Caenorhabditis elegans: one gene and its partners. The protein of the gene in region 2 interacts with the protein of the main gene of each other region in a pairwise test. Each region holds a gene or a part of one and is shown on either strand. Other genes may lie near its edges.

What was found.
Region 1: the proteins of puf-8 (region 2) and ncbp-2 interact in a two-hybrid assay, tested with the Caenorhabditis elegans proteins (one study listed by BioGRID).
Region 3: the proteins of puf-8 (region 2) and pab-1 interact in a two-hybrid assay, tested with the Caenorhabditis elegans proteins (one study listed by BioGRID).
Region 4: the proteins of puf-8 (region 2) and sftb-1 interact in a two-hybrid assay, tested with the Caenorhabditis elegans proteins (one study listed by BioGRID).

What each region holds. Positions count from the first base shown.
Region 1 is NC_003279.8:7,641,456-7,645,621, forward strand, and holds ncbp-2 (Nuclear cap-binding protein subunit 2), read right to left. Parts: upstream 1,874-4,166; 5' UTR 1,787-1,873; coding exon 1,718-1,786; intron 1,625-1,717; coding exon 1,443-1,624; intron 1,349-1,442; coding exon 1,140-1,348; intron 1,037-1,139; coding exon 1,020-1,036; 3' UTR 1,002-1,019; downstream 1-1,001. Other genes in the region: F26A3.1 (Lipid droplet-associated hydrolase), read right to left, coding at 1-111, 162-312; rrf-1 (RNA-directed RNA polymerase), read right to left, coding at 2,185-2,345, 2,393-2,512, 2,563-2,812, 3,117-3,643, 3,696-3,831, 3,884-4,063, 4,109-4,166. UniProt on the Caenorhabditis elegans protein: Component of the cap-binding complex (CBC), which binds co-transcriptionally to the 5' cap of pre-mRNAs and is involved in various processes such as pre-mRNA splicing and RNA-mediated gene silencing (RNAi).
Region 2 is NC_003280.10:7,295,307-7,300,326, forward strand, and holds puf-8 (PUM-HD domain-containing protein), read right to left. Parts: upstream 2,942-5,020; 5' UTR 2,924-2,941; coding exon 2,801-2,923; intron 2,668-2,800; coding exon 2,382-2,667; intron 2,336-2,381; coding exon 2,242-2,335; intron 2,196-2,241; coding exon 1,329-2,195; intron 1,285-1,328; coding exon 1,121-1,284; intron 1,072-1,120; coding exon 998-1,071; 3' UTR 809-997; downstream 1-808. Other genes in the region: C30G12.6 (uncharacterized protein), read right to left, coding at 1-379, 427-709; C30G12.1 (uncharacterized protein), read left to right, coding at 4,265-4,381, 4,430-4,530, 4,578-4,686, 4,893-5,020.
Region 3 is NC_003279.8:10,431,908-10,437,359, reverse strand, and holds pab-1 (Polyadenylate-binding protein), read left to right. Parts: upstream 1-2,121; 5' UTR 2,122-2,128; coding exon 2,129-2,384; intron 2,385-2,435; coding exon 2,436-2,629; intron 2,630-2,681; coding exon 2,682-3,272; intron 3,273-3,318; coding exon 3,319-3,603; intron 3,604-3,651; coding exon 3,652-4,065; intron 4,066-4,115; coding exon 4,116-4,316; 3' UTR 4,317-4,499; downstream 4,500-5,452. Other genes in the region: madf-10 (MADF domain-containing protein), read left to right, coding at 39-448; rpl-30 (Large ribosomal subunit protein eL30), read right to left, coding at 516-690, 744-892, 1,073-1,096; Y106G6H.1 (Saposin B-type domain-containing protein), read right to left, coding at 5,077-5,237, 5,289-5,452.
Region 4 is NC_003281.10:4,262,794-4,271,560, forward strand, and holds sftb-1 (Splicing factor 3B subunit 1 domain-containing protein), read right to left. Parts: upstream 6,478-8,767; 5' UTR 6,474-6,477; coding exon 6,330-6,473; intron 6,258-6,329; coding exon 5,978-6,257; intron 5,932-5,977; coding exon 5,269-5,931; intron 5,217-5,268; coding exon 4,473-5,216; intron 4,423-4,472; coding exon 4,335-4,422; intron 3,931-4,334; coding exon 3,696-3,930; intron 3,646-3,695; coding exon 3,376-3,645; intron 3,317-3,375; coding exon 2,381-3,316; intron 2,334-2,380; coding exon 1,905-2,333; intron 1,856-1,904; coding exon 1,790-1,855; intron 1,403-1,789; coding exon 1,289-1,402; 3' UTR 990-1,288; downstream 1-989. Other genes in the region: depd-5 (DEP domain-containing protein), read right to left, coding at 82-255; R10E4.1 (BTB domain-containing protein), read left to right, coding at 7,478-7,626, 7,835-8,328, 8,374-8,534.

The DNA of each region.
Region 1 (4,166 bases), on a different chromosome or scaffold from region 2:
AGAATAAATATTGATTTTTCAAGTTTTTCTGCTCATCTTCATCTTTCTTTATCAAATTTTGCAAAACTTCTCGTCCGAAATGAGCGTAGAATCCTTCGTTTCCGGGATTTCCTGAAATTAAAATTTTCTTAAATTTTTAAAAGCGCAATTTCCCGATTTACCTGGAATCATTAAAATAATCACTCGATTCTCGTTCTCCTTTTTCTTCTGAATTTTCAGCGTTTCGTCTGAAATATCCAACCCCATGACGGACATTTTCGTCCATTTCCCTGCTACTCGAACCCATTCCACTTTTCGAAGAATTGAGGTCATCTATATGTAAATAAATAAGAAAAACTGGAAAAATGCGGTTAGAAAGAATGATATTGTGTTGGGAAATTTTCACCTGCCTCAATAATTATTTTTAAACATCTGTAAAAAATCGATGGAGGAAGATGGCTTTATCTCAAGTTTGGAGAAGAAAACACAAACAGAAAAATAAATAAAACGTTAAAACAAGATGGAAACAGAGATACCGTATATTCTCTATTAGTGCTGCATGCAGCACTAATTTCCAGGCCCTTTTTGAGTGCAGCACTATTAGAGACTGCAGTATTACTGGAGGCTGCAGCACTAATTTTCGAACGGCTATTTTCAATTGGAGATCACTAGTTTTTAGTCACAAATGCTCACCTTTTAAGCAGAAATCCATTAAAATTGTGAAATTTTGTAACAAAAATGACCTAATAACTCAATTATGTTTGTAAGTTAACTAGAAATCTTCAAAAATATACAAAACACTCCCCAGAATGTCAAAACTATGTATTGAGTGACTCTTTCAGTAGAAAATGGGGTGCAGCACTAATAGAGACTGCAGCACTAATTTTCGGACCCTTTTTGAGTGCAGCACTATTAGAGACTGCAGTACTACTGGAGATGCAGCACTAATAGAGAATATACGGTAATAATTTTCAGATTTTGTGATTTTTTTTGTTTGAAGAATGATGATTGAGGATCGTGTTGGATGGATTTGGAAACGATTATTGACGGTCACCGCCTGAAAAATGTAGAAGATTCATTTTTCTTAATAGTCACACGAATAAAAAAACCAATTTGAAACAACTTAAAACGATTTTTCCATTTTTTTTTATTCTGCTAACCTTTTTGAGCAATAGCGCGATTGTAGCCTCCTCTTTCTGGATCATAATCCTTTCGATACTCATCACGAACTTGTCCACCGTGTTTTCCTCTTCCATATTGACGTCCTTCAATGAATCCAGCATCCCAATCAGCACGAATTACACGATCATCCATACGAGTGTTTGAGATGTTCTGAAGAGCCAGCTCAGCGTCTTCTCTTGTGTAGTATCTGGAAATCAATAAATAAAAATAAAAATTAATTAAATTTTATTTGTTCGGGTTAAAAGTCCAGAGAAGCAATGAAAATCGCGGAAAAAACTCACTCGACAAAGCAGAATCCGCAAGGAGTTTTCTTGAATCTATCCAATCCCATGATCACTCTTCTGACGTCACCGGCTCTTCCAAACAGCTCATAGACTTGGTCTTCTTTAGTGTAATATGATAAATTTCCAACATAAAGTGTACATGATGTGCGTAGAGCAGTCTCCTGGTCTCGAACGGTTCCCTGAAATTGAGAACTACAAATTTGAATTCGTATTGTGCAACAACACCTTTTATTCGATAAAAACCCGAAAAGTTGTTAAAACAAAAGGCTTACCTGGTATCTTTGATCTCTGTAAGCACTAATTTCCTTAGGATTATCCAATGTTCTTGGATCGAAGACCATTTTAAAAGAAAGAACGAAGAAACAGACACACTCTTCAGCGAACAAAATTCGAAAAGAGAACGGAGTGTCGTAGCGCGTGTTGTTTAACTGAAACCCGAGGTTATTTGAATTTGGATTTTATCAACCCTCATTTAGCAGATATTGGATAACGAAATAACATTGGGAATATCGATTACGAAACGAAAATCTAAAATAAATAAATGTTTTATACCACGGAGAAAATATTTTAAAATTATTAATCAATCATTTGATGATGGAATTGGTCAGTTTACACACAAATACAAATGGTAGAAGGAATTAAAAATAAATAAAACAGAAAAAATAGTACAAGGTTTGAAAATGTAAGTGAAGAAAAAACATTAACAGAGTCTATGGCATATTTCAACAAAAATACGAGATTAAAATTCACCATTCATAACTTTTTGATAGCAAAGAGATGCCATCTGTTGTGATACTTCTTCTCCTTCCCAATGACTTTTGATTGGAATTGTAACTGCTGAAAGCTTTTTGAGCATTTGAATTGATTCGAGAGTTCCGGAGACGGAGACGATGTAACGAACTGAAAACAATTATTTTATGCTACCAATATGAAGAGTTTTTAATTACCTGTAGTCTTTGGTTTCGCCTTATCGTTTATCGGATTTTTCTCCTGTCGCCGCATCTTTACAGTTGAAACATTTGTGTGTTTCTTCATATTATTGATCAGATCATTCACATTTATATTTTCTAAATGAAAAAAAACTCAATTTTTTTTATTTCCAAAAGATTTTACATACCGGGTAACTCGATAACAAATGGTTCACACTCTCGATCCATCGTCTCAGCTGTAATTGTTGGATCAGATGATACTGGAAGCTCTTCAAAACGTAGATTAAACAGAATATTGTAGTAGGTTTTGAGAGCTGATTCATGGAATATTCGCCATTCTCCACGCATAAAAATCGATGAGAAGTTGAGAGGACAAAAGGATAAAGTCGACATTTTTCTGAACTTCCGACATCCCATAAATTGGAAGAATTTGACCATCTGAAAAAAATACACAATTCGGCTTTGAATTTCTCGCCAATGTTGGACTACAAATCATACAGCTGAATGGACTTATGTCAACTTTGATGAATCGAAAATTCAAGTTTTTTTTGTTTTATATTCGGTAAAATTTCAACTTTTCTACAATTTCCTATAATTTCTCTATATATTTCAATGAATTTTTTATTTTTGTTATCAAAATATAGATGTTTATAGACAAAATTCAAAGGTTTCTCTTCTTTTTTCATACTTTTTCGAAGAAATCGAAAAATCGACGATGTTCGATGACCCCCTTATTCCTTACCATATCTGATCTTTTTTTTTCAGTAAGTGGATCGATATTGCCTCTCGATGAATCTCTTTTCTGTTTCTCATATTCTTCTTTTTCAATTATTTTGAAAAACGGTTCTGCATTTCCATCAGCAGATGCCAATTGTCGTGTTGCAAAAAGAATGAACATGAGGAAAAAGTGATAAATCTTGATTGGTTTTCCATCAAACAATCGTAATGATTCTCCCCATCGCATTAACATGAAGAACACAGAGTCCAACCCTGGTATCATCTCCAGATATATTTTCAGAATGGAAATCGCTTCTTTTGATTTTTCACCGGTAATTAGATGATCGAGTTCACAGAAGTTCTTGAAATCCGCATCGTGATCAATCAAATATTGTTTTCGATGCTCTTCTAGGAAAGTGTACATGGGATTTGCTCCACCAATCTGCATTCTTTCGTTATTCAATACATTAGTCTCCTTGACTTTGGCAATGACGTCATATGCAATCCAAGCAAATGAAAGCTTCCGAACTTCTCTCGTGGATTGAGCACACTCTACAAAGAAATTACAATAGTTCAAAAAATTGAAACAAAAAAATTGAATTACCGTAACAAGCTCGATACCAGGCAACAGCTTTCTTTCTGACCTCCTGATCTGGATCTTCGCAACGGTAATTGAGACAGTTGCCGTTATCGTAAGCATTTGGTAAAAGTGTACATTTTACTGTGAATCCACCAAATTCCTGATAATGGCATAGAAATTAAAAAATAAATAAATATTGAAATAAACTGTACCTCGAAGAACGTTTCTCTGAATTTGCACACTAAAGATGTCATTTTTGTTTCAATCATTTGATTAGTGTTGTAGAATGACATATCATCTTGGTCTTTATCCGAAATTCGATTTCTCATTTCGACAATGCATCCTGACATGATTTCACCTTCCGACCGGATACCGTAGTTTTCCATAATAGACTGTAAAATTTGGGTATTTAAACTTTACTCAGCCTTCAAACTAACCCTGAGTTGTCCGTTGTAACTGGATAATTGTTTTTGAGCACTTTCCATATATCTCTCA
Region 2 (5,020 bases):
GCGATGAGTCGATAAATGCGACAACGAACGAAAGAATCAGCGTGCAAATAAAGACGATCGACAAGAAGAATCAGCTTATATAGAAGATCACTGCACTTCATTGACTTGTTTTTAATTGCAAGTTTTGCGATGAATATCATAAGTACATGCTCGGCCTCCTCAGCACCTTGATCTCGTTCTCGTTCATCAACAATAATCGATATAAGCCCTTCAATTATCGAATCAATAACAGTATTCCGTTTGCAATCTAACATAGTTGACTTGAAAATTATTTTGTGTGCGACGTCAAAAAGTGCTATCGCTGCAGGCTCTGCTCTATATGTGACTTCGGTGAACACTCTTCTTATACGAGCTGTCAGAACATCCAACGGAACTTCTTCTGTAACATGATTGTCTTATAACGTTTATATATACTCACAAACAAACCAATCGTCAAAAGATTGAAGTCCTCTTCATTTAAATCCAGCTCCTTCTGTTCTTGTATGACTTCTTCATTAATTTCATCTTCTCCGTTTGCATCATCACTTTGTTTACTTACTGAGCTCTGAATAGGCTCATCGAAACTGTCGTTTTGAGGTTCGTTAGCTTTCGATGAAGCTTCTTGAGAATCAAAACTGTCTTCACACGCAGGTTCTTCAAAACTATCTTCATCGTTATCCTCTTCTACCATATCATCGAAAAGATTTCCGAGATGATCACCAGACTCCATCTCAAACATTTAGATTTGTGCGAAAACGGTTTTCAAGTAATTCAAGATATATAAGGGAGATATATAAACATCTTTAAAACAAATGTTCAACAACTTTTTTTTCAAATTTTTATGCTAAAATAAGATTAGGAAAAAATTACAAAACGAGTAACATTACAAATTACGATAAGCTGTCTACAGAAATGCACAGGGAATAACAAAAAGAACCGGTATAACAACCGGATTTGAGATAACTAAAGGTACATTTGTGAGGAGTTGAGTGTTGGGAATAGTACAAAACTGATTGGGCTAGTGAGATCCCTGCATATCTTGGTATGGATAGCTCATGACAGCCGGCTTTTGAAAATATTTTTCAAGTTTTGCTGCAAATTAAGGTTGAATATTATTAAATCATTCTTTGCAATATCTTACCAAGAATGTGCTTTCCATGAGGGAATTGTCTCAAAACGGGAATGTGTGGACGAACAGTTAGGATGAGTTCACGGCGCTGTTCTGATGTAACCTGATCGAACATTTTCTGAACAACGTAGTTGGCGTACTGATCTTTCATCATTTGGACAACAATCGGTACAGATCTGAATGAAATAATTATATCTACATTTTTCATGAATATACATACCCTTCCTGATGGTGACACGCAGCTCCTACGATCATGGACTTGTGATAAACTGCGCCTTGTTCCAAACATTTTTCGATAACGTTCGACGAGTACTTGTGGGTGGCAAACTCGAATAGATTGTTGGAGACACGAGTAACAATAACCATTCTATCCTCTTCACTTCCATGTTCAATGACGTGTTGAACCACATAGTTTCCGTACTGATTATTTGCAATTTCGTCGAAACGTTTATGAATTTGGCCGATAACAGGCTTCGTCTGCGAAGGACTGCAGTGTTCGAGACAACGTTGGACAACACGACAACCGTAGGGATCCACAGACATCTCGTAAATTGTGTTGCTGGATTCTAGAAGCGTATCGACAATGAATTGGACGTACTGTGGACTGACTTTCTCTATGGCCTTCTGAACCACGTGGTTTCCATTTTGATCTTTCATACAACGATGGATGACGTGTCGGATTTGAGAAAGAATTTTTATTTGAAGTGGCTCATTGATTTTTTCCAAAGCTTTCTGAAGAACACGGCAGGCATACATTTGAAACGCGTATTCTGGTACACGATCAATTATTGCATCGACGAGCCGAGCCCAATGCCTTTCTTCGCCATATTCGAAGAATTTCTGCACTACGTAGTTGCCGAAAATATCATCAACGAGCTCATCAGCATTGGAAACGACTTCATCAAATATAGAGTCCTTCTCGAATCTGTCCTTACTGGAAGCAAGTTCCTGTTGAATGAATCTCGAGCCAACTTGATCTTTGGCAAACTTCAACAGTGCTCCACGAATGTCTGATAATTTTAAATTCTTCATCATGGCTGGATTTGCACGATATCTAGTTAGAAGATCGTCGGTGGTTGTTGGTTCCCTGAAATATACAAATATTTAAACTATTTTTGAGTTTAGAAAAAAACCTGTAGGGATTTGAAAATATGCCTGTGGCAGACGGTTGAACCGGTACACGAATACTTTGAGAATGCGCTTGGTGCATTTGTAAATCATTATATGCTGTAAAAACGGAGAATTTCCATATTCGAAATATGTTTTTACTAACCTTGTGCTTGTAGCATTTGTGTCATTTGATTCGAAAACATATTAGAACCATTGTATTGATGATTCATGTAGTTGTTATTGATAGTACTCAAGACATGACCGACATTAGAGCTGATTGGAATATTTTCTTGAGCACAATAACACGATGGTGGAGTTCCGAACATGTGCAATGTATTCTGGCCAATTACTTTTCCTCCTTGATGCATGTAAGTGGCAAATTGAAACTCTGGTGTATCGGGAAGGCGTTCATTTTTTGGATTGGTAGAAATATGACGGCCATACGATCTCTGAAATCATTGTTTTATTGAAAATTTAATTGACAAACACTGCGGCAAATCTATCAGTGTGATTTATTGCATGAACATTGTATTTCTATTCAAAATAAAAAATAATTTCAATATTGCAATAAACAAGACTCACAATCGGAGATCCGCATACACTATCCACTATTTTCTGAGCACCGATGCTCCTCCCAAGAGATTCAATCGGAGAAGCTGAAGGATCAAATGTGCATGTATTCCCAATTGAAATCGGACGACTCATCAGGAACGCAGATTACCCCTAAAATAATTACTTTAGGTCAAGGAGGCATAGTTCAGCTTGAAAAAACAATTGCAACGCGTACTTTATTTATTTTTATTAATTAAAATAGTTGCACATGAGAATTTAGAACATTAAAATGAGAAAACAATGAAAAACAATCAAAAATCACTATTTAGAACAGGAGTTCCGTATTTATTCGGATAATTTTCGAACGAATACCGTAGTCGTGGTGTTCGTGGTGAAACCCATTTCTCCATTAAATGCATGTTCCTTTAAATTATTGAGGTTCCGCACGCACTTGAGAGTCCATGGAAAGGAGAACTGGTGAAAAACTTAATATACGAAAAGGTAATATGCTGAAAGGAGGCGTGGCATGTAGGAGAGTAGAAAAAACATTTTTTTCGACTTTTTGAAAAAATAGTAGGCTTGGATTATGTAGTTTCAATATGGTGTCGGGTACTGTATTTTCTGAAAACCCATGTGATTCGAGTTCGCGGCGAGACCTAATTCTTCAGGGACCTAATTTTATACGAATCCCAAGCTGACCTAGTGAAGACCCTGTGTAGATGTAACAGTAAATGTAAACATAGCATTTATATTAATCTCCGTTTTTCTGGAGATCAAATGCTAAGTAGATCAATTGAATATACTTGTGCTCTCAGAGATACCTGCTCCAAAGTCGATATTTCCTCACTCTCAACTCTTCAGAACTGGCAGAAAGTGTATGAATGAGTGTTGTTATGCATAGTATTGAATATTCTAAATTTATTTTCCATGTGCTTTGTGCTTAACATAGCTTGACCGTTTTGATTCTTTCTTTACAATGAAATGGATATACATCTTCATCTTTTTATTCTCGGGAGTCGAATGACCGTTTCAAAAACTTCAAAGTGTGTAGAGCATGCAAAAGCAAACAACGTGAAGATTCTCGACAAATTTAGTTTTTTTTTTTCTTCCCGACCGTCCGTTCGCCGGCCATCGTATCAAATTTCCTCCCACCTCTATTTCATTGTCATCTCCATTCCAACCCCTTTCTGACCTTTAACGAGAATTAGATTTTGTCTGTTTGTGTATATTTAATTTTGGAAAACAAAGCCTCACATCGAAAAAGGTTGCAGGCTGGCCGATCGTACGAGCGTATTGTGTGTGTGTACGAACATAGAGCGTCCGATTGCATAAGGTTCGTGTAAAGCAGCTTCCGGCCGTGGGAACAACACCATAGTTTGTGTGCCGAGAAGCGACGCCCCTTGTCTCCTCACAGTCCCATCTTTGTTCTTGCTTCGTAACTTGAACTCATCACGACCAAATAGAGTCTTTGACTAGGTGTACCCTTTGGTTGCCATGGTTAAAAGTCTTCATTATTTTATATTACCTTTAATTGGTAATGCCCTAATTCTAAATACACCACCTGAATATCAACCTGGATATGGTTATGTTGGACCAGCATGTGCTGTATTTGTAAGCATTCGTAGAAAACAATTTGAAAATATCTTCCAAATCTTTCAGGACAGTACCCTATTCCTTCATGGTGTTTCCAAGCGAAAGTTGAATGATCACGAACTACACATATTTAGTTCGTATCAGCATGATCTAAGTGCATTCAAAGAGTTTGTCATTCTATTCTCGATTGTTTTGAAAATTAAGCGTTTTACAGTTCATCATCTTCATTTGATTCTTTCGAAGCCTCGTTTCCTACAATTCCAAAATTCTGTGGAGGGTATGATGATTCTATTGAAGTGGTGTTGGATTCTTGTATTGTTCGAGTAAGTTTTTTTTTCCAATTGTGTATAGTTAGAACCATCTGGTTTTAATGTAAATCTTCAATATTACGGTATCAGGGGTCGACACGATCGGAAATTGATAGGTCAAAGACGCTTCGAGACCAATTACCGTATTCTTTTGTCAGAATCTATGAAATAGTCACTTCACTTTTTAATTACTACAATTAACAAATACGGTTTTTTTCTAGAATAATCACGTCTACGTTGGAGATCATCTTATCCGACCATTAACAAACTTTGAGAAACAGAAAATACAGTTAGTTAAAATGAGACGAATGTATGGAGAATCAAAAAGGAAACGTAGCAAAAGAAGCTC
Region 3 (5,452 bases), on a different chromosome or scaffold from region 2:
TATCATTTCTACTTCAGTTATAATTGGTTTTTTTCCAGTCGAAGAAATCGAAAAGCATTGGAAAAATCTGAAAGACACATACGTGAAAACTCGACGGAAGTTAACATTTGATCATGATGGATGCCCTATACGACCGAAATGGAAGTTTTTTGATTCGCTCATGTTCCTGGACAGTGTGAATCAAAACGATTTTGTGATGAAAAAACGTCCGATGCAATTCCAGGGACAGCCGTACGATTTATACCAAGGTCCCTCTTCTAAGAAAGAGAAACTAGAAGAAATGCCATCTGACGAGTACATGGAATTCTGTCGATCGTTGTACCTCCCATTGAAAGAAATAGGATACAAGGATCGCATACACTGGCTGAAGATCCAAAAGTCCATCCGTGACATCGTTTACGAAGCGCAACTGGAAAGTGTTACTAAAGCCGCACCTGATTTGCAATAAACAATTTGTGTTAAAAATACTGATTCTAAACTGTTTTCAACAATTTATTGTAACAATAACAAACAGCTTATGCGCTCTCAGATGGAACGCTGAGGATGATGTCGGAGTCTCCGGCATCAGTGACTGCAAGGGTGCACACACGGAAGAGACGTCCACAGGCGGTTCCGAGCTCAATGTTGTTTCCGTTGTAGTGGTGAACTCCAGTTTTGGCGAGCATGGCGTAGTACTCAATCTCGGACTTTCTGAAAATTAATCATGAGTTAATAAAAATCCGAAATGATAAATATTGATTTACCTGAGTGGTGGAGTGTTGTTGGCAATGATGACAAGCTTAGCCTTTCCGTTGAGAAGGGATTTGAGAGTCTGCTTGTATCCGAGGACGTATTGTCCAGTCTTCATGACCATGGAGAGTCGGGAGTTGATGTTCTCAGCATTTTTCTTGACCTAAACGAATATATGGATCATCAGGCGTTCGAATATTGGAGAATTCGCGAGCGCTTACATTGAGCACCCGAAGCCCGTGACAGAATGAGCGGGGAAGCTACTCCTTCTCAATTAAATCACCCGAGCTCCGGATTACTCCATCGCTGCTCGAAAATTTAACTCCAGAGAAACTTCACTAACCTGTGGCTTAGCAGCTGGAGCCATGATGATTTACCTGAAAATAGAAAAAATAACTGCGTGAACTTCTAATTTGAGCCACGTAAATAGAGCAAAAGAAGGACGGCACATTAAAAAACAAATAACTTCAAAACGTCTTTACGAAAGCGATCATCCGTACTACTTCAGAAAATTTCAACGTCTCAAAAAATAAGTGGTAAGAAATTCAATTTATAATAGTTTACAGCTTGAAGAATTATATAAAAAGGCGTTTATCTGTTGAAAGTTTGCAACTAAAAAACAGAAATAAGTCGAATAAACTAAAATTTGGTTTCAAAAACATAATTTTCTGCAAAAAAGAAACGAAACAGCGAAAAGTATCAGATTTTGGGCCAGAAATAGGGGCAAAGCAGCGATAACTACGGTTCGCGATGCATTTCGTGGCGAGACCCATCGGCACATTCCCTCCTCCCTTGAAACACTAGTGTGTCTTTTTCCGGTTTTTGGGATCCGAGTTCTCCTGGCTCTGAGCAAAAGGACAGTAAATCCCAATTTAAACTGCTCAAAAACCCATAAAAATTTAAAAAACCCTAAAAATCACCAAAAAAATTATTCTTTGGACGATCCGACACCAAAACGTGAGTTTTATTGATTTTTCCTATTTCGTAATTCGAACCGTTACTTGTTTCCGTGCTAAATTGTTTTCTATGATTATTTGGGAAGGACATATAGTTTTCTGTCTCTTTTTGTTGAATAACAAGTAATTTTTTACCGATACGAATAATTGCTGCGTGTTTCCCGATCGATACTTCCCAGGTCCCGAGATGTGAGCGTTTATTAGACAATTAGGCTAACTCCGCCCTTTCTGCTATTCTTAGCGTACTATCGTCATTTGCTCTTTAGTTGTAGGTAGGCAGACACTACATTAACCCGCGGTCTGGCTAGACGTCGCCTGACTTCCTCGCTAGACGTTGTTCCGTGACCCAACTCCTCACCCATAATAAAAAAGTACGGAAATACGTGACGGTCACTAAAATATTACTTCTATTCTATTTATTCAATCTTCAATTCAGTAAAATCATGGAAATGAACGTCGCTGCTCCCGCTGCCGCCGTTGCTGGCGCTGCTGCTCCTCAACCAGGCCAAAATCAGACCGGCTCGTCGTACACCATGGCTTCGCTCTACGTCGGAGACCTCCACCCGGACGTCAACGAGTCGATCCTGTTCGAGAAGTTCAGCGCTGCCGGCCCTGTTCTTTCTATTCGTGTCTGCAGAGACAATGCCACTCGTCTCTCATTGGGCTATGCCTACGTCAACTTCCAACAACCAGCTGATGGTTTGTTTGTCTCCAAATTCACTTCAATCTTTAATTCAATTCAATTTTCAGCTGAACGTGCCATGGACACCATGAACTTCGAGGCTCTTCACGGCAAACCAATGAGAATCATGTGGTCTCAAAGAGATCCAGCTATGCGTCGTTCGGGAGCTGGCAATATCTTCATCAAGAACCTCGATAAGGTCATCGACAACAAGTCAATCTACGATACCTTCTCCCTGTTCGGAAACATTCTCTCCTGCAAGGTAACGTTTTCTTTAGAGCATTGCCAAACCGCCTTCAATTTATGTTGTACAGGTTGCTATCGACGAGGACGGATTCAGCAAAGGCTACGGTTTCGTTCACTTCGAGACCGAGGAAGCTGCCCAAAATGCTATCCAAAAAGTCAATGGCATGCTTCTGGCCGGGAAGAAGGTTTTCGTTGGCAAATTCCAGCCACGTGCTCAACGCAATCGCGAGCTTGGAGAGACTGCCAAACAGTTCACCAATGTCTACGTGAAGAACTTTGGAGATCACTACAACAAGGAAACCCTTGAGAAGCTCTTCGCCAAGTTCGGAAACATTACCAGCTGCGAAGTCATGACTGTCGAGGGAAAGTCCAAGGGATTCGGATTTGTTGCTTTTGCTAATCCAGAAGAGGCCGAGACTGCTGTGCAAGCTCTTCACGATTCAACCATCGAGGGAACTGACTTGAAACTTCATGTCTGCCGTGCCCAAAAGAAGTCTGAGAGACACGCTGAATTGAAAAAGAAGCACGAGCAACACAAGGCTGAGCGTATGCAGAAGTATCAAGGAGTCAATCTCTACGTCAAAAACCTCGACGAGACTGTCGATGATGATGGCTTGAAGAAGCAATTCGAGTCTTACGGAAACATCACGAGTGCTAAGGTTGGTAAACTTTTTCAAAATGCTATCATATACATAATATTTTTAGGTCATGACTGACGAAAATGGGAGATCAAAGGGATTCGGTTTTGTCTGCTTCGAAAAGCCGGAGGAAGCTACAAGTGCAGTGACTGAGATGAACTCAAAAATGGTGTGCTCAAAGCCATTGTATGTGGCTATTGCTCAACGTAAAGAAGATCGTCGTGCACAGCTTGCTTCTCAATACATGCAACGTCTTGCAAGCATGAGAATGCACGGCAACGTTCCAGGAGCAGCCATGTACAACCCAACACAGCCAGGACCAGGATACTATGTTGCTAATCCGATGCAACAGGTTAGTTTTTTGTTGTTTTTTTTGTAATGCTCGAATTTATTATTTCAGCAGCGCAACTTCGCCGGTGGACAACAGATGGTTCGCCCAGGAGGTCGCTGGGGAATGCAAAATCAGTACCCAGTCCAAAATCAGTACATGATGGCTCAAGGCCCAGGTGTCTACCAAAACCGCATGGGACGTCCACAGAACCAACAAGGAGGACCACGCGGTCCACCACAGCAGTACAATCAAGTCGCTCAAGGAGGCGTCCGCATGCAGGGACCACCACGCACCCAAAATCCTGGAGTCCAACAGCAAAACGTTCCACGTCCACCACAGCAACAACAGCAGCAAAGACCAGCTCCAACCGGACCAAAGGCTCCACCACAGCCATATCAGGCATACCAGCAAAGACCACAAGGAATCGTTATTGGAGGACAAGAGCCACTCACATCTGCAATGTTGGCCGCTGCTGCTCCTCAGGTAAGCTTACTTTGTTTTGCAATACTTAATTTCATGATACATCTTTTCAGGAGCAAAAGCAACTTCTTGGTGAGCGTATCTACGCTCTCATTGAGAAACTCTACCCGGGACACAAGGACGCAGGAAAAATCACAGGAATGATGCTCGAAATCGACAATTCCGAGTTGATCATGATGCTTCAAGATAGTGAATTGTTCCGCTCGAAGGTCGACGAAGCTGCATCGGTTCTCGTTTCCGCTCAGAAGCAATAAGTTCATTGCCAAGTGCTCTTAGCACGTTCCCCCAGTTGCTAAGCATACCCATCTCCTGTTTTTTTTTCTTACTGTCACCCTTCTTTTTGTTACTTGTTAGTGGTTGGTTTAGCCGCCCCACACCCCACCCCTTGAGTAAGCTCACTTTTGTGATGTTTATTCACGTTAAAATAAAATCATAAAAATAATCAATGTTAATGGGCAAGTTATAGAAAAAAAAGAAGCAATGTTACACAGATGCCCTTCGCAAACGCATTCGACACCTTCCATCTCATCCCACAAAACAGCTTTTCTACACCCAATAGGAGAATCGGATGGAACGCAAATTCGTTGTTCACGTATCAAACCATCTGAAATTCGAAGCTGACTGCAATTGTATAATAATTAACTCACTAGTCATGGGCGCTGTTCGTCTCGAACATTTCGGACCAACACATGTTGAACCATCGAAATCACAATAACCTTGAAATGAATCGCAAACGAAACATTGCGTTGAAATTGTTATAGGAATTAATATTAAACAAAATGCTACACTTCGTTTCATCGTGAACATTTAGTAAAATGAGTTAAGTTTTGGTATCCGGTGAGAGTAAACATTTACTACTTGAACACAGGAATTCGACTACTGTTCGTGACTCTAGAGACTATTAATATTGGAGAAAGGAAAGTCAGCGTTTTGTTTAAAGACACAAAATATAAAAGAAGAATCAGCAAAGTAAAAAGTTTATAAAAATTAAATTATGCAATTATAAGAAAACGTCTAAAGTTCATCGTGAAGGTTTCTTTTCTCGAATTCCATATGATAGTCTTTCTTTTCTTTTTTCACTTTCGTTTGTCGAATATTTAAAAATGCATCTGCTTGCTCCGGTCTATCTGGAATTTGACTACAAAGCCAACGAGTTTGTGGAGTATCTTTGAAATCTGTAATAATGGTTTCGTTTATATTTTTATCTTTAGTTGAGAAAAACTCACACTCTTGACAAAGTTCTCGTAGACAATGAAGTGCATTTGGCTGCTCATTGAGCTCACACCATTGAAGCTCCAAACTGCAAAATCTTTCGGGTCTAGTGATAACTGTTGCAACGTCGATAAGCTGATAAAACTTCTTTTTCATCACATTCTGGCATCCGTCATAA
Region 4 (8,767 bases), on a different chromosome or scaffold from region 2:
TAATTTGAGTATTTTAACTTTACTTTAATTTTAATTTTTCAGTATTTTAATGAATAATTCTGTGCCCTATCCATTACGAACCGGATCACAATGCGGACATTTGTCGATCGTGTGATACACGACTTTAGCATTCCATGTCATCTTCTGTGCCTCGTGAAGTCCAAGTTGTAGCTCATTTTCAGGCGGTGGTTCAGTGGTTGCTCTCCGTTGACTTGAGTTATTGCTGCTGCTGGGTCCAGCTATTTCGAACGCCATCCCCGTGGATCCACACCGCCTTCACGGACCAAAGCAGCACCTGCGCTTTTGAACGAAGATTTTCGAAATTCTTTTGCTCACTTGGAAGGGATGACTGAAAAAAATCGATTTTTTGAGAAAAACTAATTTTCAGAGAATTTAATTATTACAAAGACGCGAACATTTGTACAAAAAATACGGTAACCGGTCTCGACGCGACAATTTTAGTTCAATGCAAAAATGTGTTTAACAAAAATATCGTAGCTGCATAATTTTCATAGATTTTGTTCAAATTTTAAGTATTTTAATATTTGTATGAGTAAATATATTTTTGAGATAAAATCGATGAAAATTCTGTGCAAACAAAAGTTTTTCGATTAGAAAAATAAAAATTGAAAGAAGATTATGAAAAATCGATGAAAATTCCGTAACAAAGAGATTCTTAAACTACAGTAATCCTTAAAGGCGCACACCATTTTTGCATTTAATACACATTTGTCGTTTCGAGACCAGCCACTGTACTGTTGCTGCAAAAAGCGCAAAATTTTCGTTTTTAAGGAACTAATATTGAAAGAATTTGTAAAATTTCTTTTTTAAAGATAATTTTGCCAAAAATAAAATTAGAAAATTATTTTTATATTTGGAGAGTATTAGGAAACTCTGATATTTTTTAAGGTATTTAAAAAATTTTTAAACGAGAAAAAATAAGCGAAATTTGACTTCAACAAAAAAAAAGGGATTTCTTTAAAACATTAAAATAATTTGACAAGTCTTCATTTTAAATATCTATCGCAAGAGTTGTTGTTGTTTTTTTTTTTGGGAATAAATTGATTGATATTGGAGAAAAGTAATAGAAAAACAAAAAAAAACCACTGACAACCAAAACAATTTTGTTAGATTAATCTAGATTCAAGAGAATATTTGGAGGGAAATGGGATTAAAATATAAAAGGTTTCGTTTTCTATGAAAATGTGATGAAAGGAGGGAGGGAACACGGAGATAGAAAAATAAGTTATCGAGATCCAAATAAAAAAAACAAAAATTAGAAAATTATTTAAAGATTATAATCAAGTTCGTAGCGGACATATTGATTTGTTGGGGTGTTCTCGATACGTGGATAGGCGGCAATAAGAGCATCTGCGGAGCCAAGAATTAGGTTGTTGAAGACCTGGAAATATTAATATGAAATTACATAAAAATTTAGCGCTTGTGGAAAAAACGTCTCAATATTCCGAATACAAATTTTAAAAAATTTATAGAAATTTTCTAATCTTTTTTTAAATTTTGCGGAAAATTTGAGAAGTACCAAAACATTTTTGAATTCCCGCGCAACCTGTATTTAATTTTTTCCTTTTTCAATTTTTCCGGTCGCTCACTTTTGGTCGAAAAAAAAGAAGATATTTCACAATAAAAATAAATTTTCTCTGAAAAATAAAAATTCAATTGAAAAAAATCATTAAAAAATTAGAAACATTCTATAAATATTTTAAAAGCTATATTCCGAATATTTCCACTATTTCTGTAATTGAAAATTCAAGGAAACTAAAATAATTACCTTCCACACTGGTTCTCGAACTTTTCTCGCTGGATGCCAAAGAGCTTGCAGGCAATATTGAAGAACCTGAAATGAATTTTAATTTTTGAAATTATTAAGAATTTAAAATAAAAACCTTAATAGGTCCCAACGAAACTCGCATTCCTTCACATGCAAACACCCATCGTTGAATAAGATGCGGTGAGTTTTCCAACATATTGGGCCACACATAATTCAATAAATGAATAAGTGCATCTTCACAACCAAATCCATAAACTCCAATAGCAAGATGAGCAACTGCGTCGACTGCAATCTGACGATGAACTTGATCTCTTTCCATTAATGCATCAATGAGCAGCGGAACAACTGCATAAATGTAGTCTTTTGCCATTTCTCCAATGTATTCGAACATGAATGAAAGAGCTTTTAAAACTCCGTTTTGTACATTAATTTCAGGTACACGATACTCGTTCATAATTGCTGGAAGTACTGTAAATGGGGCACAAGTTTCCGAAACAATGGCAATGGCGACTGTTGTACACACACGGAGCTGGCGTTCTTGGACCTGAAAAATAATTTATTTTAAAAGAATCACTTCTAATCCGAGCCTACCTTCAAATTATTGAGCAACGTTGCGAGAACATCATGTGGTCCGATAGCTTTTGCAATAAATCCAAATGTATTAATTGCAGCTCTTCGAATACTTTTCTTGTGAGCTTTAAGCAATTCGAGAAGCTCGAAACAGATTCTCATCCATTCTCTTGCAGATACAAATTCAGATCCTCTATCAGCGATTGCTCCCACCAAATCGATACAGTTCTCCTGCACTTTCTCGTGACGATTCTTCAAAATTGGTGTCAATCTTGGCAGCAAATCTTTGATTGGTGGAGTCATTTTGGTCATTCCAATAACATTGCAAATTGCTTTCAATGCACCGAGAATTGATCCAAGTACTTCTGGATATTCTTCTCCCAAATACTCATACAATACTACTCCCATGTGTCCCATCATTTTCTCCTCTTCACACATATGCATAACCGGTGCAATTCTGGCAATTAAATCAGCAGCTTGTTGACGAACTTTTGCAGATTTGTTGTTGAGACGCCACAGAATAGTACCACAGATTTGTGGGATATATGCCTTGGCACGTCGTCCAAGACTTGAGCAGATTGTTCCAAAACCATCAAGCATCACAGAATCTTCTTGAGTTTGTTCCTGGAAAGCATAAAGAAGACCATCAATCAGTTGTTCTTCAAGTCGAGCATCAATATCAGTCGCTCCTTGCAACGCTACAATATTCTCAATTGTTTCCATAACCATTTTTCTGTATTGCTCATTTTCATCCTTCAAATCATCAACAATTCGAGCAATCATCTCAACGCATCCGACTTTTTGAGCAATTTCCACAGTTGTATCAACCAATTGGCGATAGTTACGACGATCCATAGCCATTCTTTGATTCCAGAATGCTTTGAAGAAGCTTGGAAGTACTTCGTCTCGAATGTAACTCGCTTCTACTCCGTCTGTTGCACAACACTGCTTGACAACCTGCAAATTTAAATGTTAAACGATAGTTCTACGAATGTTTTGGTTATTATATCACTCACCTTTAAAACAATCTTTTTCATTTCCTCATCTGGCGATGCAAACTCGCGAATCAAAATGAGCATCACTTCTCTTGTATAATATGAAGCATATTCTGCGTCCATCAATGGAATCAGGTAACCAATAGCTTTAAGGAATGCAGCAAGACCTTTTCCACGATGCATACGAATACCTTTCCAAAGAGGTTTCAACACTGAATCGAAAGCTTCAATTCCGTATGGAGATGAAGCTTCGGCGAGAGCTGCCAAGCAGAGAGCAGTGATAGTTCGGACCTGAAACGATTTGCATCAATTCCAGAAACTTTAGAAATTAAAAAGAAAACCTTTTGCTGTTCATCATCCAATCCGCTTTCAACAATATCAACAAGTGCTTTCAAATGTGGTAATACTGCACAACCCATCAAAATGGCCATTTGTTGAACAATTTTAATACCCGTGTGCCGAGCCTGCCAACTTTTTTTACTTTTGCACACAGCTTTAAGGAATGGGAGGAGAGCTGGAATTCCGAGAGCTGAGGCGACGACAGCGAATGCACGAGCGGTTGTATTACGGACATATCTGCAAATTTTTGGGTTTGATTAAAAGCTTTGTGATGTTTTTTCTGCTTTAAATTCATTAAAACTGACCCGCAAATACCGAATTTCATAGTGAGATTTTTAAAAATCTAAAAAATACATTTTTAAAACTTTTTTTGAAAAAATTCGGTCTTTTCGGACTTTTTTAAATTAAAAACTAGTGTAAACCTATAGAAAATCACTTGATTAATCTGAAATTAACATTAATTTCAGCTGGAACGTTTCAGAAAGTTCTCAAAAATGGCCAAAAGTTGCCAGATTTTCTATAGTTTCAAACTAATTTTTAATATTTCTTCAATTTTTTTACTGTTTTCCAGGGAAAATTGAACAACCATATATTTGGTGTTTGTTTAATTGAAAAATCAACAAAACTGTCGACAAACTTACTCATCAACATTATCAATATCAGGCCTCATTGTAGAAATCATTGTTGCCAATCCAGCGGCCTTTGCAAGGTTGGAAATGATCTCACGACCTGAAAATATTTAATTTTTAAATTTTAAAATTTATTCTAAATTTTCAAACCTTCAACTCTTGCATAATAATCCTCATCGATAAGAAGTGGCTCAATGACGACAAGAATCTTATGCACATATGGTCTGACGAGATCATCCAATTTGTATAGAATTCGATCAATAACTTTTACCATCAAATGCCGTTCTTGATCCTCCAGCGATGGTGACATGAGAAGTGGAAGAATTTGATTGAAAAGTGGACCTGCTCCGTACTTTCGCGCGTTTTCTGTTATTTTTCTCAATCCGCTCTTTCTCATTGGCGGGGTTCCATTTTTGATTTTCAATAAATGCTCCATAATTTCCCGTTCATTTTTCTCTTCTTTCGTGAGTTGACTCTCATCTACATCCATCAACAACTTATCGAAATATTGCATATCATCTGGCTTTAGAGGTGGTAATTCTGCATTCTTAGGTTGAGTATCCACCAGACCACCGACTCCTTTCTCTCCGATTCCATCTCTATCTGGTGTTCCAGGCATAAAGAATCCTCCACCAGCAGCTCCACCCATTGGAGTTGGAGTGGCCATCAACTTCCGTGATGGTGTTCTCAGAGGAATGTAGTTCATTGGAGGAACCAGAACCTTGTAGCCAGGTGGGAATAGTGAATCGAGTTCTTCATCAGTCAATGGACGGTTTCTGTCATCAATTTCCTTCTCCCATCGGTAAATTTGCATTTGTTCAGGTGTCATTGGAATCATATGAGGAGCTGGTGTTTTCATTCCCATTGCTGCCGTTCCAATTGGAGTTGCTCCACCTGAATATATTTTATATTAATTTTATATTAATTACAATATTTTGTAATAAACCTGGAGTCATTGCTCCGATTGGAGTCTGTGAAGGGTGGCTCGGTGTGAATGATGGTGTCTGTAATCCGGAATGAAGTGGAGTAGCTGCTGCCACATTCGGAGTTTGTGATGGTGTCAGATCCCATCGTGAACGACGCTTCGATGCGGATGGAGTATCCTCAATCTTAACATCATCTGATCCTCCTCTAGCAGGAGTCTCCATTCCCCATCCCGGTGTCATTGATCCATCATTGAGATTCTCTTTTGGAGTTTCATCCCAACGATTTCTTCTCGGGGTCTGTGCTGCCGGAGTCGTTGACCATTTATCCACAGAAGGAGTTGCATCAGCTGCTCCAGTCGAGTGAGCCGGTGTTTCATCCCATCTAGCAGCTCTTGGTGTTGCTGCATCTGCACTAATCTTCGAAAATCCTAATCTTTTTCGTGGAGCAGAACCCTGAGATGGAGTTGCAGAAGCTGCACCAAGATTATCAGAAGATGCATCAGTTGATGGAGCTTCAGCATCCCATCTTCCTTTCTTTTTCTCTGGCTGTCCAGTAACATGAAGCTCTCCAGCTTTTGCTCGATCGGCAAGCTCCCGTTCAACACGCCCTTTCTCTTCATGGTACATCTGATCACGCATAACTTCTGCGTAACCTCGATTCCGATTGTCAGGAGTTTGATCAACTGAAAGAATAAATTTAATTAAAGTCAAAATGATTTTCGATCTTACCAAAAGCATCCGCTCTGTCTGGAGAGATCTGTCTCCTCATAGCTCTTTCGTGATACTTGGATTGTCGTTCTGCGATGGTTTTTGTGCGAGTATCTGCGAATGGATCAGTGTCCTCGGAGGCAGCAGCCACCTCTTCGATGAATTTGTGTGGCTGTGCATAATTTGTACTTTTCTTTTGTACACTCGGCATCGAATCCTCATCGACGTCATCTTCTTCTCCGGTTCCAATCGAGTCTAGGTAACTATCCCGATTTTCACCACGAACACTTCCGTAAACATCCTGAAATTGAAAAGATTCAAAAAGTAATAGAGAATTTTCAAATTTTCAAATAAAGTATTAGAATTCACTAACCGTGTCGAAATTACCAGCGGCTCCGAAGGCCACTTTATTTCCGTTTCCCTTATTCTCATCGTTGTCTTCGGCTGCCGCGGCACGCTGGTTTGCGACCCTTTTGCGGTTCAACTCCTGCGCATAAGCCTCGCCTGAACGAGACATCGATCTACAATCAATATTGATTATATGGAAGAAAGATTAAAGTTGGAAGGAAAAAAACTTTTTTTAGAAAAGATTTAGAAAACAACATCCTAAACTTCGATAGCTTGCGCGAAACCATTTTCAAATTGTAATAAACAATTGCAAAAATTTATTAATGAAATCACTAAAAAGAAATGGAAACCATAATCCTTTTACAATGAACAATATTCAAAGAAATACACTCAAGAAACTAAAATATTAATACCCTTGAAAAATAATGGATTATCTTACGAATTTTTATGAACATCAGACAGACAACAATATTTAAAGTTTTTCTGTTGTTTTTTTTTAAATAATTTAAAAGTTTTTAAACGTAAAATAACTGAAAACTGTCCCTTAAAAGGCGAAAATTGCATTCGAAATTTTGCACGAGAATCGCGTCAATGCACCGGTCGCGCGCCAACAGCACCTGCTGGCGCGCTCTCCGATCAGTGGAGGAAGATCGAAGATTGTGTTCACTTCAAGAGTTTTGACATTTCATTTGGAATATGGTGAGTTGCTCGTTTTAGTAGGTCTTTTCTGTTTTTTGTTGTTTTTTAGTGTTTCTTTCGACGTATATCGACTTTATAAGCAAATTTCCAATAAAATTGTGAACTTTTTTAAAAATTAATTTTTTTTCACCAACATTGTGGCCACTTTAAAATTGAAGCATAACTAAAATGTTCTTATTTTTAAATTTTTATTTAAAATAAAAGCTTTCTTATTTTTTTAAGTGGTTTTATCATGTTTTTGCTTTCTCGTTCTTATAGAGAGAGAGAGAGAGAGAAGAGACGCAGAATACTGGGGCAGCATATAGCATGTGTGTTGTTTAGATGTCTCCTTGCCCCTACAACCCTTTTCTATCGATTTCCCCGTTTTTTTCGGTCTGCCACGTGCTTCTTTTTCAGTTCATGCCTTTTCTCCTTTTATGAGATTCTTTTTTCCCCAACAAAATCTTATCGAAAATTTCAGGGTAAAGTCTGAAAATGGCTCCGAACAAGGCTGCCGCTGAAGAGTATCCAGTGGATATTGTGGATTTAAGTGATGATTTTAAGAGTAGCAAGACTCTTGATTTGGTCCTAGACGAGGAGCACAAAGTCTACAGATATTGGATTCATTTGAAGTGTATGAAATGGTCAGTTTTACTTCTAAACGATAAATTGTTCACTTTTCTGGAAAAAACGCTGAATTTTGGCTTTATGGTTAAAAAAAAACATAATTTTTAAGAAGTTGAAACTACAGTACTCTTTATTGTCGTTTCGAGAAACCGTATTTTTGCACGGAAATCGATCAACGTTGCTTCTGAGAAATAATATAATCCCATAACAAAACTGAATTGTCAGGCAAATTGAGTTGCGTGCAAATTCCTTCGAATGCTTTGCTGCTTACTTCAAAACTCCAGCCACCTGGTCAGCGGAAGTTGAATTCGAAATTCGGGCTCACGTTACAAACTCTGTGAGAAGCGAAAAGTTTACTGGACGATATACAGGATCCAATCATGTCTACTTTCGTCCATTGAAGCTTCAAGATCATATGGTTCGAGAGAAGCTGAGAAGTATGAGAGTAGAAATCACAGTGAATGTCATTAAAACTATGAACTTCGGAATGCTCTACGACTATTTTGATGTTCTACCAGAAGAAGAGAATGCTTTGTTGAAAGTTGAAGATCGTCTTATTCGTGTGAATAAAAGATATCTGTCAATGATGTCTCCATTCTTTAAAGCATTATTCTATGGAGAATTGGGTGAAGATAAAGAAATCTATGAGATGAAAGAGAAGTTCCGTGAGATTATAACTTTCCTCAGATGTATTTATCCACACAGACAACCTGTTACAAGTATGTTCCACAATTTTGAGAATCGAATTATTATCAAATTTGCAGAGAAAAGCCTCGACTATCTTCTCCAACTCGCAGATCGTTATCAATGTCAACCAATTGTGGATGCGTGTGAGATGTTCATGTGTGCACATTATCATGAATATCAGAAGAAGACGGAGAAATGTTTCTCTTACGTGGAAAAGTATAAGATGCAAAGAGTTTTGGTACGTTCAAACGTGGACTTGTGGGGAATTTACTATGAATTGCTCCCGGTATCTACAACAAGCGTGGGCGGCAAATCTTCTGCAAAACTTACAAAACTGTTTGTTTCAATGTTATAATTCATTATATTGAATGAATGAAAAACTGGTATAGAAATGAAGAAAATGGGTTGTACCATCGGAAAAAATATTAATTTGAGTTTAAAATTTTGAAAAACACCTCAACTAGTACTCGA